Linked DNA regions of Neurospora crassa OR74A. The protein of the gene in region 1 interacts with the protein of each later gene in a biochemical or structural test. Links are inferred from orthologs where the notes say so. Each region holds a gene or a part of one and is shown in the gene's direction. Other genes may lie near its edges.

Region 1 (3,981 bases):
CAAGGCGTCAAGGGGTATCTTGGGGGAATCTTCAATGAATACATCACGTAATAATTACCGTTTGGTAAAGAAATCGACCTATGACTGCATTCACGAGACAGTTTCCCCGGAGCGCTGTGTGATGAATCGTACCTGCGCCTGATCTCGATTGGGTATAGTGGACATTCTTTCCGTAACTGATTTCATTAGGTCTAAGCCTTGACGGCCTGAGGGGCACCACCAGCCTGGGCGCTCGTCTGGACCTGAATGATCTCTGTCCTCTTCTTCTCAATCTTGCCCTGTGTCTCCTTGATGACTCCCTCCAAGCGAGTGCTGTGACAGTGGGTCAGTTGCGTTGTAACTCAAGATCCCATGCAGCAGTTCAACTTACATCTCCTTGCTGATGAACTCCAGTCTACCCTTGACTGTGTTCTCTGCATCCATCTTGTCCTGCTTGAGCAGCACCGGGCCCACTAGCTTGAAGATCTGCTCGTCATCCTTGAGCTTCTCGAACTCCTACATGGTGCTCAGTTAGTCCCCATTTTTTCCTTGGGCAGAATTTGGCGAAAGGCATTGGGCATGCGAGCGCGATGCTTGGAGAAAAGCTGACATTTTGCACGCTGACGTTTTCCTGCTTCTGAGCCTCGAGCTTCTGTCTGGCGAGAACAGTCTCTTGGAGTTCTGAGGTACAGTTAGTGAATGAACTACGGGGATATCATCATAAGGGGGGCTCACCTTTGTTCAGGTTTTGATACTCATCAGAGAGAGCTTGGAGCTTTAGTTGGAGGGGGCTGGCCATGGCTGCTTCTTTGAGGGTGATGTGAAGTGAGAGACAGGGTTATGCTGAAAAGTTACTAGGCGATGACGTTCGAAAACTGAAAAAGGGTTTGGACACAGTGAGGGAGGGAAGATGATGGATCAAAATGCAGGAACAAGAAACACAGATGAGCTCCAGTATGGGGAATTTGGAGGTTTCTATTCCGGGGAACTGAGCTCGCTGTGCAGTCAATCGTCAGGGGTGAGCTGAGCAGATCCCAAAGTCAGTGCCCAAGCTTTAGCTGTTAGTGCAGGAGTGTATCCTCAAGCAAAGTACTAACAGCCCCAGACCAGCGCTCTCTCCACGCGCAAACAAGTGGCGTCAGTGGCCCCCAGGCCGGGAACCATAACAGGACCCCGCGCTACGCTAGCGCTTCCAGGTCAACGGCCAAGACAAGTCGACCTCGTTGCTTGAAACTAACCAAGATATGGACAAGACCACCAACGATCTTCCCCTCTCCAATTCCACCTCAGACCAGGGCGCGACACCAACTTTTTTGTGCCAGAAGACAGTCTTGCCGTAGTCGTTGCCAGGTGACGCCCGCAAGATACGACCAATTCCCGATTTCTCTTCACCTTATCTCTGCCACTCTCGTTGCCGTAGCCTAGGACAACAGCAGTCGTCATCAACGGGTCTCCTCCCTCGCATATGGCCATCTGTTGACATTGACTTCGAACCTCGGCGCGCGAATATCAACAAACTCTCCTTGTCCGAGCGAAGAAGCAAACAAGTATAACGACTACAAACGCTTACTACGGCGTACCAAGAAGAGCGACCAATCCTACACTCGACTAAACCACGAATTCACGCGACATCACTTTACACGCTTCGAGCCGCCGCCGCACAAAATGTCCAATACCGACTTCCTCGGCCGCGCCATCGAGCAAGTGCGCAAAGCCATCGAAGCCGACAACGCCGCCCAGTACGACAAAGCCTACCAGCTGTACTACCAATCGCTCGAACTCTTCATGCTCGCCCTAAAATGGGAGAAGAACCCGAAATCCAAGGAGATGATCCGGGCCAAGACGGGCGAGTACATGGACCGGGCCGAGAAGCTCAAAGCGCACCTGGCGGACGCGGAAGCGAAGCGGAAGAAGCCCGGGATGGTGGGCGCGAACGGGGGTTCGACGGGCGGGACGGGGAAGGGGAAGGAGGCCGGGGAGGACGGTAATGGCAATGGAGAAGCGTTGGATGAGGATAGCAAGAAGCTGAGAAGTGCGTTGGCGGGCGCGATTCTGCAGGAACGGCCGAACATCAGCTGGGATGATGTGGCTGGTCTAGAGGGTGCCAAGGAGGCCCTCAAGGAGGCGGTCTTGTTGCCAATCAAGTTCCCGCATCTGTTCCAGGGGAAGAGGCAGCCGTGGAAGGGTATTTTGCTGTATGGCCCACCGGGAACAGGAAAGAGTTATTTGGCCAAGGCAGTGGCGACAGAGGCGAAGAGCACGTTCTTCAGCGTGAGCAGCTCGGATTTGGTGAGCAAGTGGATGGGTGAGAGTGAACGGTATGTTTTGTCCTGTTGTCTCTGTCCTTATGCCACTATCGTGACTGAGAAGCTAACGATTTTCCAACAAAAAACAGTCTAGTAAAGCAACTCTTCGCCATGGCCCGAGAAAACAAGCCCTCCATTATCTTCATCGACGAGATCGACGCCCTCTGCGGTCCGCGCGGTGAAGGCGAGTCGGAAGCCTCGCGCAGGATAAAAACCGAACTTTTGGTCCAAATGGACGGTGTCGGCAAAGACAGCAAGGGCGTGCTGATCCTGGGCGCCACCAACATCCCCTGGCAGCTGGATGCTGCTATCCGTCGCCGCTTCCAGCGCCGCGTGCACATCACTCTGCCGGACCTGGCGGCGCGCACCACCATGTTCCGGCTGGCTGTGGGCGACACCCACACGGCGCTCAAGGCGGAAGACTTCCGCGAGCTGGCGCGCGCGGCGGAGGGTTATTCGGGTTCGGATATCAGTATTGTTGTGCAGGATGCGTTGATGCAACCGGTGAGGAAGATTCAGCAGGCTACGCATTTCAAAAAGGTTCGTTCTTTTTTGTTTTTCTCTTTTCTCTCCCATCCCTGACCCTCAACCCCTACTTCTACCTCTATTCATGATGCGAGATTGTTAACTTTTGTTACTACAAAAAACAGGTCGTCCACGAAGGCAAACAAATGCTCACGCCCTGCTCGCCAGGCGATCCGGACGCCATCGAAATGACGTGGGAGCAGGTACCCTCGGACGAGCTGCTCGAACCATTTGTCGACAAGAAGGACTTTATCAAGGCCATCAAGGCCAGCAGGCCGACTGTGTCGGGCGAGGATCTCAAGAGGAATGAGGAATGGACAAAGGAGTTTGGTAGTGAGGGTGCGTAGAGAGATGCCTGCCACAGTGTGGGGGGCGGGTGTGGTCAATGGTTCGTTCCGTGCGGTTTATTCTTGTTCTTTGGTGTTTCTCCCATGGAAAGCGAAGGAGTGGTATACAGAGGGCGGCGGGTATCTGGATGTTTTAGGTACTTTTTACTTTGGGGTTAAGAGTCTTGCAAGCCCCTTTTTCTATCTTGGCAGCACATTGCATGCGGCAAGGCACATGTTTACTACGAAGACTTGATGATGACGATATTATTCTAGCGAGAAAATCAGGGGAAGATGGAGTGTCGATGGGCGTTTTGCAATCATGCGATATTGGAAGAGTACATAGATTCATGACACTTCACATCAACCAGGTACTTTTAGACGTACGTTCCGTTTCGTTTAATGAGCCTTTGTTTTTACCCATATCGCCGCCATATGATGCTCCATGGGTATGATGCTAGTACACACGCACATCCTTTTCAACTTTTTTGCGCTACCCCTCTATGATCAGTCGTAGATGGCAAGAGATGTGAATGACGACAACGACGAACTATTTATGATTCTTGCAAGAAACAAGTAGACCCGTAAAACTCCTTTGTACCAGATTTGACCCATACCCCATACATTATAAGAAACTCCCGAGGATAACAACGACAACAGAGCGAACCAACAAGAACGACGTGCCAAAAAACGCGACGAGAAGCTCTAAACAAGATGACGAAGAAAAAAAGTAAAAATCGTGAAAAAGACACAAGTGGTGACGCTGCTTTTTGGCTCTTTTTCTTTCGGTCTTTTTACTCAGACTTCGACTTCTTCTTCTTCTTCTTCTTCTCGGGTTCCGCAGC
Region 2 (4,013 bases), on another chromosome or scaffold:
TCGTGAAACAATCCTCTGACGGGGATATAGGGGTCGAGCACCTGGCTTCAGTTTCCGCACATTGTAGAGCCCCATGAACAGACGCCGTTCCGAAGGTGAGGAAAGTGCACATGTCGTAGCCGTGATATTGACAGTAGAGATGAGATATCCGTGTGTATGGATCCAGGGAAAGGCCGCTCTCGCAACCTGAACCTGTCGATCGCCAGCTGCAAGATGTGATGTGATAGTGAAAAGAGAAACACCCCCGCGTTTTGTAGCGGGGTTCTTCTGTTCTTCATCACTCTCTGTTTCCACATCCGTTGAATGCGGCTGCCTTGAGCGTTATTACCACGCACAAAAGGAGACGAGGCTCGGTTAATTCCATCACTTATACCTCTCTTCAGTTTCCTCATCCCATCATTCTGTCAGGTTGGGCTCAGTATTTCCTCTTTCTTCATAATGGATGAAAGATACGGATAGAAGCGCGTCTAATGAAGAGGTGAAAAGAGGGGTCAGCCGTTGGGCGCCACACCAACAAATCGCTGCACTGGGCCTTCATAGCCGCCGGCTTGTAGCTTTGTACCACACCCGGACTGTACGGGTACCCGAATCATTGGAGGATTGTTTCCGAAAACGGGGACCAGGGCAAGGCATTGAATATCGAGCCATGAAGCAACGCCCATCTGGACGGGCGATATGGATGGAGGGAAGGTGTGGAAAGATGGACTAGGTAGGTAGTGCTAAGCTTATTGTACCTTCCTGGTCTTATAATGGAGCTGCTTCCCCCGTCTGAACATGTGAGGAAGATGCCTGAAGCGATCTGCAGCCGGCGGCTAACTTGGAGAGAGCGGATGGAATCCATCTCTTGGTTTGCCTCTTCTTCGCTCGATTAGTTTCCCGCTTGGATATTCTGGTCCAGCAAACCTCACTGGGTGTCTTCGATTTCAAGCTAAGTGCTAGTGGCTTTCACATTGAACTCCATCTTCGATATCAGAGGCATCTTGTAGGTCTGAATCACAGCTGGAGAGAGCCCGGCCGGTGACAGGGGATGATGGAAGCTATACGGGACTGTCTCCGTAGTTGGGTGGCTCCTTCCCCGGTAGCTGCCGCCTGCCCCATCACGCCCATTGCTGCCCGCCGCCTATCGATGACCTGTCAAGCGGTGCACATATAACATATGACGGGGCCTGGAGGTGCCGCTCTTTCGCTTATACGATGAGCGAGACCGAGACAACTTTTGCAAAAGTTGGCCAGCCATAAATAACAACCTAGTATTGGTTTGAATACTATTACCAAGCAACATCACCTCAGCTTTATGTCTTGTCAATCGTCGAGCGTCGCCAAGGTACCTCTACCTAGGTAGTGACCAAGCCACCCGGCCACATTTGGAGACCTAAGCAACCATAAGGTACCTAGGTACCAGTAGTTCGCCTTGTGCCTACCTACTGCACCTCACCAGTTCCCCGGATCTCCCCCTCCCCAACCCCCAAAGAAGTAAAAAGTCCACAACGTGGTTCTCGACTTTACCGTCCACTCCAACACGGCCAGGCGGCCATCAACGCTCAATCACCACAGCAGAGTTCACAGCAGGGCAACCGCCGTTGGCAAAGTACCAGGTACCCCTCCGCCGCACGCGAGCTCTGACGACACAAGCTGGCTTGTTACCCAAAGCTTACACGAACACGCAACTCTCCTCCCTCTCACAACTCGTCAACCGCCAATCTTTCACCCTTTTCCCCAGTCTGCCACATACCATCGGCAAAGTAGGCTTAGGAAAGCTGCAGTCGTCACGCGGCAGACAACACGGAAAACCCACAAGAACTTGGATTACAAGCCGCCAGAACCGGGACTTTCGTCTTGTCTTGTCCCCGCATTCCGAACTCCATCGAGTCGTTTACCGAACCGAGACGCTGAATTCCAACCGCCCGCCCATACTCGCCCAACATGGTGCAGGCGCCCATGATCTCGGTGCCCCTCAAGGCCACAAGCGAGATTGACTGGGTTGCTCCCCTCAAAAACTACATTCGAAATACGTACGGCGATGATCCGGAGCGCTATGCCGAAGAATGTGCGACCCTCAACCGGTTACGCCAGGATATGCGAGGCGCCGGGAAGGACAGCACGTCGGGAAGGGACCTGCTCTATCGCTACTACGGCCAGCTCGAACTTTTGGATTTGAGATTTCCGGTGGACGAGAAGAACATCAAGATTTCCTTTACATGGTATTGTCCCTTCCAGTGTTCGGGACCCACATCGGTTGCTAACCATCTGCTGCTTCTGTAGGTTCGACGCTTTTACTCACAAGCCCACAGCGCAATATTCGCTGGCTTTTGAGAAGGCCTCCATCATCTTCAACATTTCCGCCGTTCTATCCTGCCATGCGGCACACCAATTGCGAACCGAGGAGGCGGGACTCAAGACGGCATACCACTCGTTCCAGGCCTCGGCCGGCATGTTCACCTACATCAACGAGAACTTCCTCCACGCGCCCTCGTCCGATCTGAGCAGGGAAACGGTCAAGACGCTAATCAGCATCATGTTGGCCCAGGCGCAAGAGGTCTTCCTTGAGAAGCAGATTGCTGATCAAAAAAAGAATGGTCTGCTCGCCAAGTTGTCTAGCCAAGCAGCCGCTCTCTACGCCCAGGCTGTTGAGGGCGTTCAGGAAAACGTCACCAAGGCCATTTTCGAGAAAGTTTGGCTGTCTGTGGTTCAGGTAAGTTGTGTAGGCGTGGGTTCCGTATCAGGAAGGATGGGAAATCTGGGGCAAAACTGACACAAAATATTAGATCAAGCTTAACTTCATGAACTCACTCGCCCAGTACTATCAAGCCCTCGCTGATGAGGATGCAAACTCTTATGGCGTGGCCATTGCGCGTCTTGAAATTGCACAGGGTCTTGCCAAAGAAGCAAACAAGATGGCACACAGTTTTCCCACCTCAGTGCCCCCGAACTCGAATTTGACTTCGGACTGTGGCCACATCCTGGCAGATGCGACCAAAAGACACCTCGCAACTGTCAAGGAAAAGTTGGAGGAACTCAACAAGGAAAATGATATGATCTACCATCAACCCGTACCTGCTGAGGCCAGCGTTGCACCAGTCCCCAAGCTGCCGGCTGCGAAACCGATACCCGTTAGCGAACTATATGCCGGCCAGGATATTCAACGGATCACCGGCCCCGACCTATTCGCGAAAATTGTGCCTCTCGCGGTCACCGAATCGGCTAGCTTGTACGATGAAGAGAAGGCCAAGCTGGTGAGAGCTGAGACGGAAAGAGTAGAAACCGCAAACAGCGAGATGGCGGCTAGCCTGGACTATCTCAGGCTTCCGGGCGCTCTTCAGGTTTTGAAGGGAGGGTTCGATCAGGATATCCTTCCTGACGAAGACTTTAGGACATGGTGTGTGGATGTCGCGGATCACGAAAGCCCTCATAGGATTTTCGAATATCTTCATACCGAAAAGCAGGCCATTTCAACAATACTGGATAAGAGTAGCAGGCAGTTGGATATGGAGGAAAGCGTGTGTGAGAAGATGCGTTCCAAGTACGATGCGGAATGGACTCAGCAGCCGAGTTCGCGGTTGACCACTACGCTCAGAACGGACATTAGGAGGTATAGGGAGGCCTTGGAAGTGGCAGCGAAGAGTGATGGGCAGCTCGCGACAAAGCTTAGAGCCAACGAAACTGAGTTGGATGAGATGCGCCAGGCCGCGCAGCATGGAGAGATCGATGAGTTGTTCCAGAGAGCAGTCAGGAAGTCGCGAAAGTCAAACCCGAATAGCCCCGCCACCGTGGAGCCTAATCTTTTGGAGGCCGATTTTGATGATGGTGGCCCGAGTGTGGTTGAGCAGATCCAAAAGGTGGAAGATATTCTGAAGAAGCTCAGCTTGGTGAAGAAGGAGCGTCTGCAGGTACTACAGGATCTGAAGCAAAAGGTATGTTGATCACTCACGATGAAGAGTCGAGTGTGGTTCATCAAGAGCTGACAAAACAACAGGCGCACAGTGATGATATCTCCCAAATTCTTATTCTCAACA
Region 3 (3,913 bases), on another chromosome or scaffold:
TGTGAATGTGAAATCACAGGTTCAGGTCGGAGCTGCGTGGTGGTGGGTGAATGGCGAAGGAAGAGACAGTGGCTCGTGCAGAGTTGCCGTCGATTGCAAGAACGGAGGAAATAGCCGACCCATGCAAGTTGCTTTCCCTTAAGGCCAGAGTGAGCTTGTTTTGAGAGGGAATGAATCGAGGTGCCTGGCGTTCCTGAATACCGAAAAGACCGATTTATCACGCGACCGGTAACAGAGCAACCAGGCAACCATCGGAGCTGGCATGCAACTTTCGGTTGACTGCGGAAGGCAAGAACCACTTTTCTCTAATTGAGCATCGTCCCGTGGGCAAAACCACCGACTTCGCCGGGGCTCGGCGACATTCGAGGCCATCCAGGTGATAGCTCGTCATCCCCACAACGTTCCTTCAGGATCTCTAACCACTTTCCTGGGCTGCTTCAAAAAGCGTGTAATTCGGAGGTTCACATTCATGAAGCAAAAGCGTGCACGGGTACAAATCGACGGGATGAGGATGGCAAAGCACGAGATATAAACAGAGAGAATTCATAGAGTGTGCCTCAACACTTGTCAGGGCACTTTGCCTGCGAAACACGATTGTGGTTTTGCGTGCAAGGTGAGTTACTAACCTGCTGGATTTCCTGGCGGTATTTGTACTGTTTATCCTTATCCTTGTCCGCCATCTTGACTGGTTTTTAAGGGCGACTGTCTGATCAAGTCGTCTATAAGTTGCCTTGTGAGAGAAGCGGTAACAATGATCGAGGAGACAAAAGACCACGCGTTCGATTTTGAGCGGAGTGGGAATAGAATCGTCGGAGCGAAAAACAAAGTATTGGGATATCAGGATTAGTGACACAAATGACAAGGAGAAGTCATGTATATAAGTTGAGTTGGGGAGGATGGAACTGGAGTCAAAAAGTAGGCCGTTGTAAGAGAAGAAGGGAAGCTGCGAGAGTTGATGTCCGGTTGTTCGGCGGACGTCGTTGACGTTCCGGCAACCAGCAGGGTTCCCGGTACATACTGTCACGTGATGCACATATGCTGCAGAACGTTCTTGGACCGGGCCTGCGTCGATGGCAGTTCAGAAGGAACAGTAGTCGCGTTTGATGTCTCATCTTCTGAGACAATCGACTGGAATCGTGAAGTTGGGTCGAGTGAATCACCTGCGAGACGTATCGTGGTGAAGGTGGTTGAACTCGAAATCGAGTACAGGGCACTGAAAAGTGGTCAGGAGGTGGAATCGTGAATGCAACATGAAGTAGGTAGATCTACATGCTATAATGCCTATTCTACAAGGGCTTCTAAGTACTCTCTACTTTACCTTACGCATCCGGCCCACTGAGCAAGGACCCGTTTCTCCCCTCGCGACAGCCAATGGCCCTGTCGATCCGCATACGGTCCCACCATCTACCCCACACAAGCTGTGGTGCTCCCGTCGTCCCGTCTCCTCCAACTCGACGACAACCTCGCAAGTTGCCTAAAGGCCATCATCATATCTTTGACTTCATTATCTGTTCTGAACCAGCCACTCATAGTTGGGTCGCCCACCTAGTCACAGCTTTTATTTCTCACAGCAAGCACCATTAGATTACCCGAAACACCTCAAATATGCCTCCCGCAGGAGCTGCCTTTGTGGTACGTCATCCTAACTCCACCTCAAGTTATGCCACGACATGTAACGTCTACATGGACGATGAAGCTCACTCGGAACACAGGCCAAACTCAAAGTCCAGCTGAAACTGGCTATTGCCAGATTGCGTATGGTCCAGAAACGCGATGAAGCCCTCGCCAAGACCCAGCGACGGGCTATGGCGCAGTTGCTTGATGTTGGCAAGGAGGACTCGGCCCGCATCCGTGTTGAAAACATCATCCGGTCAGACATCACCACCGAGCTTCACGAGATTCTGGAACTCTACTGTGAACTCTTGCTTGCCCGCGCCGGTCTGTTGGAGGCGCCCACATGCGACCCTGGTCTCGAGGAGGCCGTCAAGAGCATCATCTACGCCGCACCCAAGACCGAGATCAAGGAGCTCCACCAAGTACGGACGCTGCTCGCGGAGAAGTTTGGTAAGGAGTTTGCGCTACAGGCGGTGGAAAACTCGGATGGAAAGGTGTCGGAAAAGGTTGTCAAGAAGCTCAGCGTGACGCCACCGCGGGAAGAGCTTGTTGTTGGCTATCTGGAGGAGATCGCAAAGGTGTATGGCGTGAACTGGCCAAAGAAGAAGGCACACTTGGGCGAGCCGCCTGACTTTATGGACGAGGATGAGAGCCCGAGCGGTGGGCAGGCTCAGAAGAACCTCGAGGTACCTTTAAAGGCGGAAGATAAGGAGGCGGAGGCTCAGGAAGAGCTCAGCAAGGCAACGCCACCAGTGTCCTTCGGACCTGCGAGCCCACTACATGTTAACCCACCACCGCCGTCAACCGACAATATCCATCCCAAAGTCACCCTGAACCACCAGCAATTACAATCAAAGCAATCTCCAGCGGGTGGTGGAGTTGTGAAGAAGGCGCCTGCGAAGGGGAGTATCGCAGATGGCATTCCTGACGTGGACGAGCTGGCTAAGCGGTTTGCGGCTTTGAAAAAGTAGCATGGTTTTGCCATGATATGGACTTTTTTTTCAAGCGGTTTGTGCTTTTGCAGAACCAAACTACGAAGTATGGGAGCGAATCTTTGCAGCGGTACTAGTATTTGTTGGCCTATGACATTTCAAGCGAATCATCATCAATTCGAATATTCTCATACCTGGGCTGCTCGCTTGGTGTTGACTGACCCGTCGGATACCGCGTTGCTATTGGTATATGGCAAGGTTCTCTTGGTTCTTGGACTGCCAAGAATTCCCCAATCACCAAACCCTTCATCAGTCCTTTTGAGGTTGTAGAGGCATGGATCACTTCCCATGTTGATATTTCCGTGGCAGGCTGGCAGGATGGCGCAGCCGTCATGGTTGTGTCCGCCCCCTCCTCTTCATTCCTGCCCCCGACTTCCGTAAACGGGGCAGATGTGATGGAAGGCCCCCGTCTGTCAACCACGCCAGAGGTGACTAAATCATCTGGCAAAGCTAGCGAGGGTAGCTCCTGCCTTGTTCGCTGGATCCCCGCCGTGAAATTGATGGACGTTTGCTCTTTCCTTTCATCCCAACTTGTGTCCCTTGATTTCACACCTGATGCCAGCTGCCTGCTCTGGTCCCAATATGACCTTTGAATATTACAGTACCAACGCATCGACGCAGCCCAAGTCGATTAATTCCTTTGACCTTCCACATTTCCAACATCTCGCAGAGGTTGCTCATCAAGATATTCCAAGCAACAAGCGGATATCACGAGGCTTTCAAGGAAACTTGCTCCCACTGGTATCGCGTCCCTCCCACCTGGTCACGGGTGGGAAAACGAGCCAGAGTCACGGTCGCGTCATTCACCCTCACGTAAACCTGGGAAATAGCTGATTGAGGGGCACTCCTACTGTCAACCATTCCTGTTTCCCTTTTTTTTCATATTCCAATTGATGCAACTCAATTATCTACCCGCAGCAATTCTCCTAGTCTCGGATCACGCATTCTTGTATGTTTAGCAACACAACTGTGCTATCAACAGAAAACTATCCATCTCGTTAAAGACTTGACACTGATTGCCACATGTACCGCAGACTTTGATAGCAGGCATCTCGCCACCGAGTCGCAACGCGGCTAAGAGCGTCCAGAAACCAGCCAGCACTCCCCGTTTGGACAGAAAACTCACCATATCTGGCCAACAACCTGAAGAAAGCGTCTGATAAGGCTCATTTGATACTCGCGACCAAGAGCTAGCATCTCTTGCACTACCCTACCATCGATGATGGAATATAAAGAGGAGATGACAGCCTTTGTCGGGCGGCTGGGCGTTCGAACACTCGGCCAACTCTCTCTGAAGGAGCTTGCTG

Evidence for each region.
Region 2: the proteins of NCU06942 (region 1) and NCU08001 form a complex in vitro, tested with the Saccharomyces cerevisiae proteins (3 studies listed by BioGRID). The link is inferred for Neurospora crassa OR74A from reciprocal best matches to the Saccharomyces cerevisiae genes VPS4 and BRO1.
Region 3: the proteins of NCU06942 (region 1) and NCU07991 form a complex in vitro, tested with the Saccharomyces cerevisiae proteins (2 studies listed by BioGRID). The link is inferred for Neurospora crassa OR74A from reciprocal best matches to the Saccharomyces cerevisiae genes VPS4 and IST1.

The regions. Positions count from the first base shown.
Region 1 is NC_026507.1:845,061-849,041, forward strand, and holds NCU06942 (vacuolar protein sorting-associated protein VPS4), read left to right. Parts: upstream 1-1,181; 5' UTR 1,182-1,644; coding exon 1,645-2,297; intron 2,298-2,374; coding exon 2,375-2,825; intron 2,826-2,935; coding exon 2,936-3,157; 3' UTR 3,158-3,556; downstream 3,557-3,981. Other genes in the region: NCU06941 (prefoldin subunit 6), read right to left, coding at 192-312, 371-495, 590-660, 715-778; NCU06943 (SIK1), read right to left, coding at 3,931-3,981. UniProt on the Saccharomyces cerevisiae protein: Involved in the transport of biosynthetic membrane proteins from the prevacuolar/endosomal compartment to the vacuole. Required for multivesicular body (MVB) protein sorting.
Region 2 is NC_026504.1:3,875,054-3,879,066, forward strand, and holds the start of NCU08001 (vacuolar protein-sorting protein bro-1), read left to right. Parts: upstream 1-1,213; 5' UTR 1,214-1,923; coding exon 1,924-2,201; intron 2,202-2,262; coding exon 2,263-2,692; intron 2,693-2,765; coding exon 2,766-3,911; intron 3,912-3,973; coding exon 3,974-4,013. UniProt on the Saccharomyces cerevisiae protein: Class E VPS protein involved in concentration and sorting of cargo proteins of the multivesicular body (MVB) for incorporation into intralumenal vesicles. Fusion between endosomes and the vacuole will then target the cargo proteins to the vacuolar lumen.
Region 3 is NC_026504.1:3,828,804-3,832,716, reverse strand, and holds NCU07991 (DUF292 domain-containing protein), read left to right. Parts: upstream 1-1,452; 5' UTR 1,453-1,605; coding exon 1,606-1,632; intron 1,633-1,712; coding exon 1,713-2,585; 3' UTR 2,586-3,413; downstream 3,414-3,913. UniProt on the Saccharomyces cerevisiae protein: Involved in a late step in sorting of cargo proteins of the multivesicular body (MVB) for incorporation into intralumenal vesicles. The lumenal sequestrated membrane proteins are targeted into the vacuole after fusion of the endosome with the vacuole.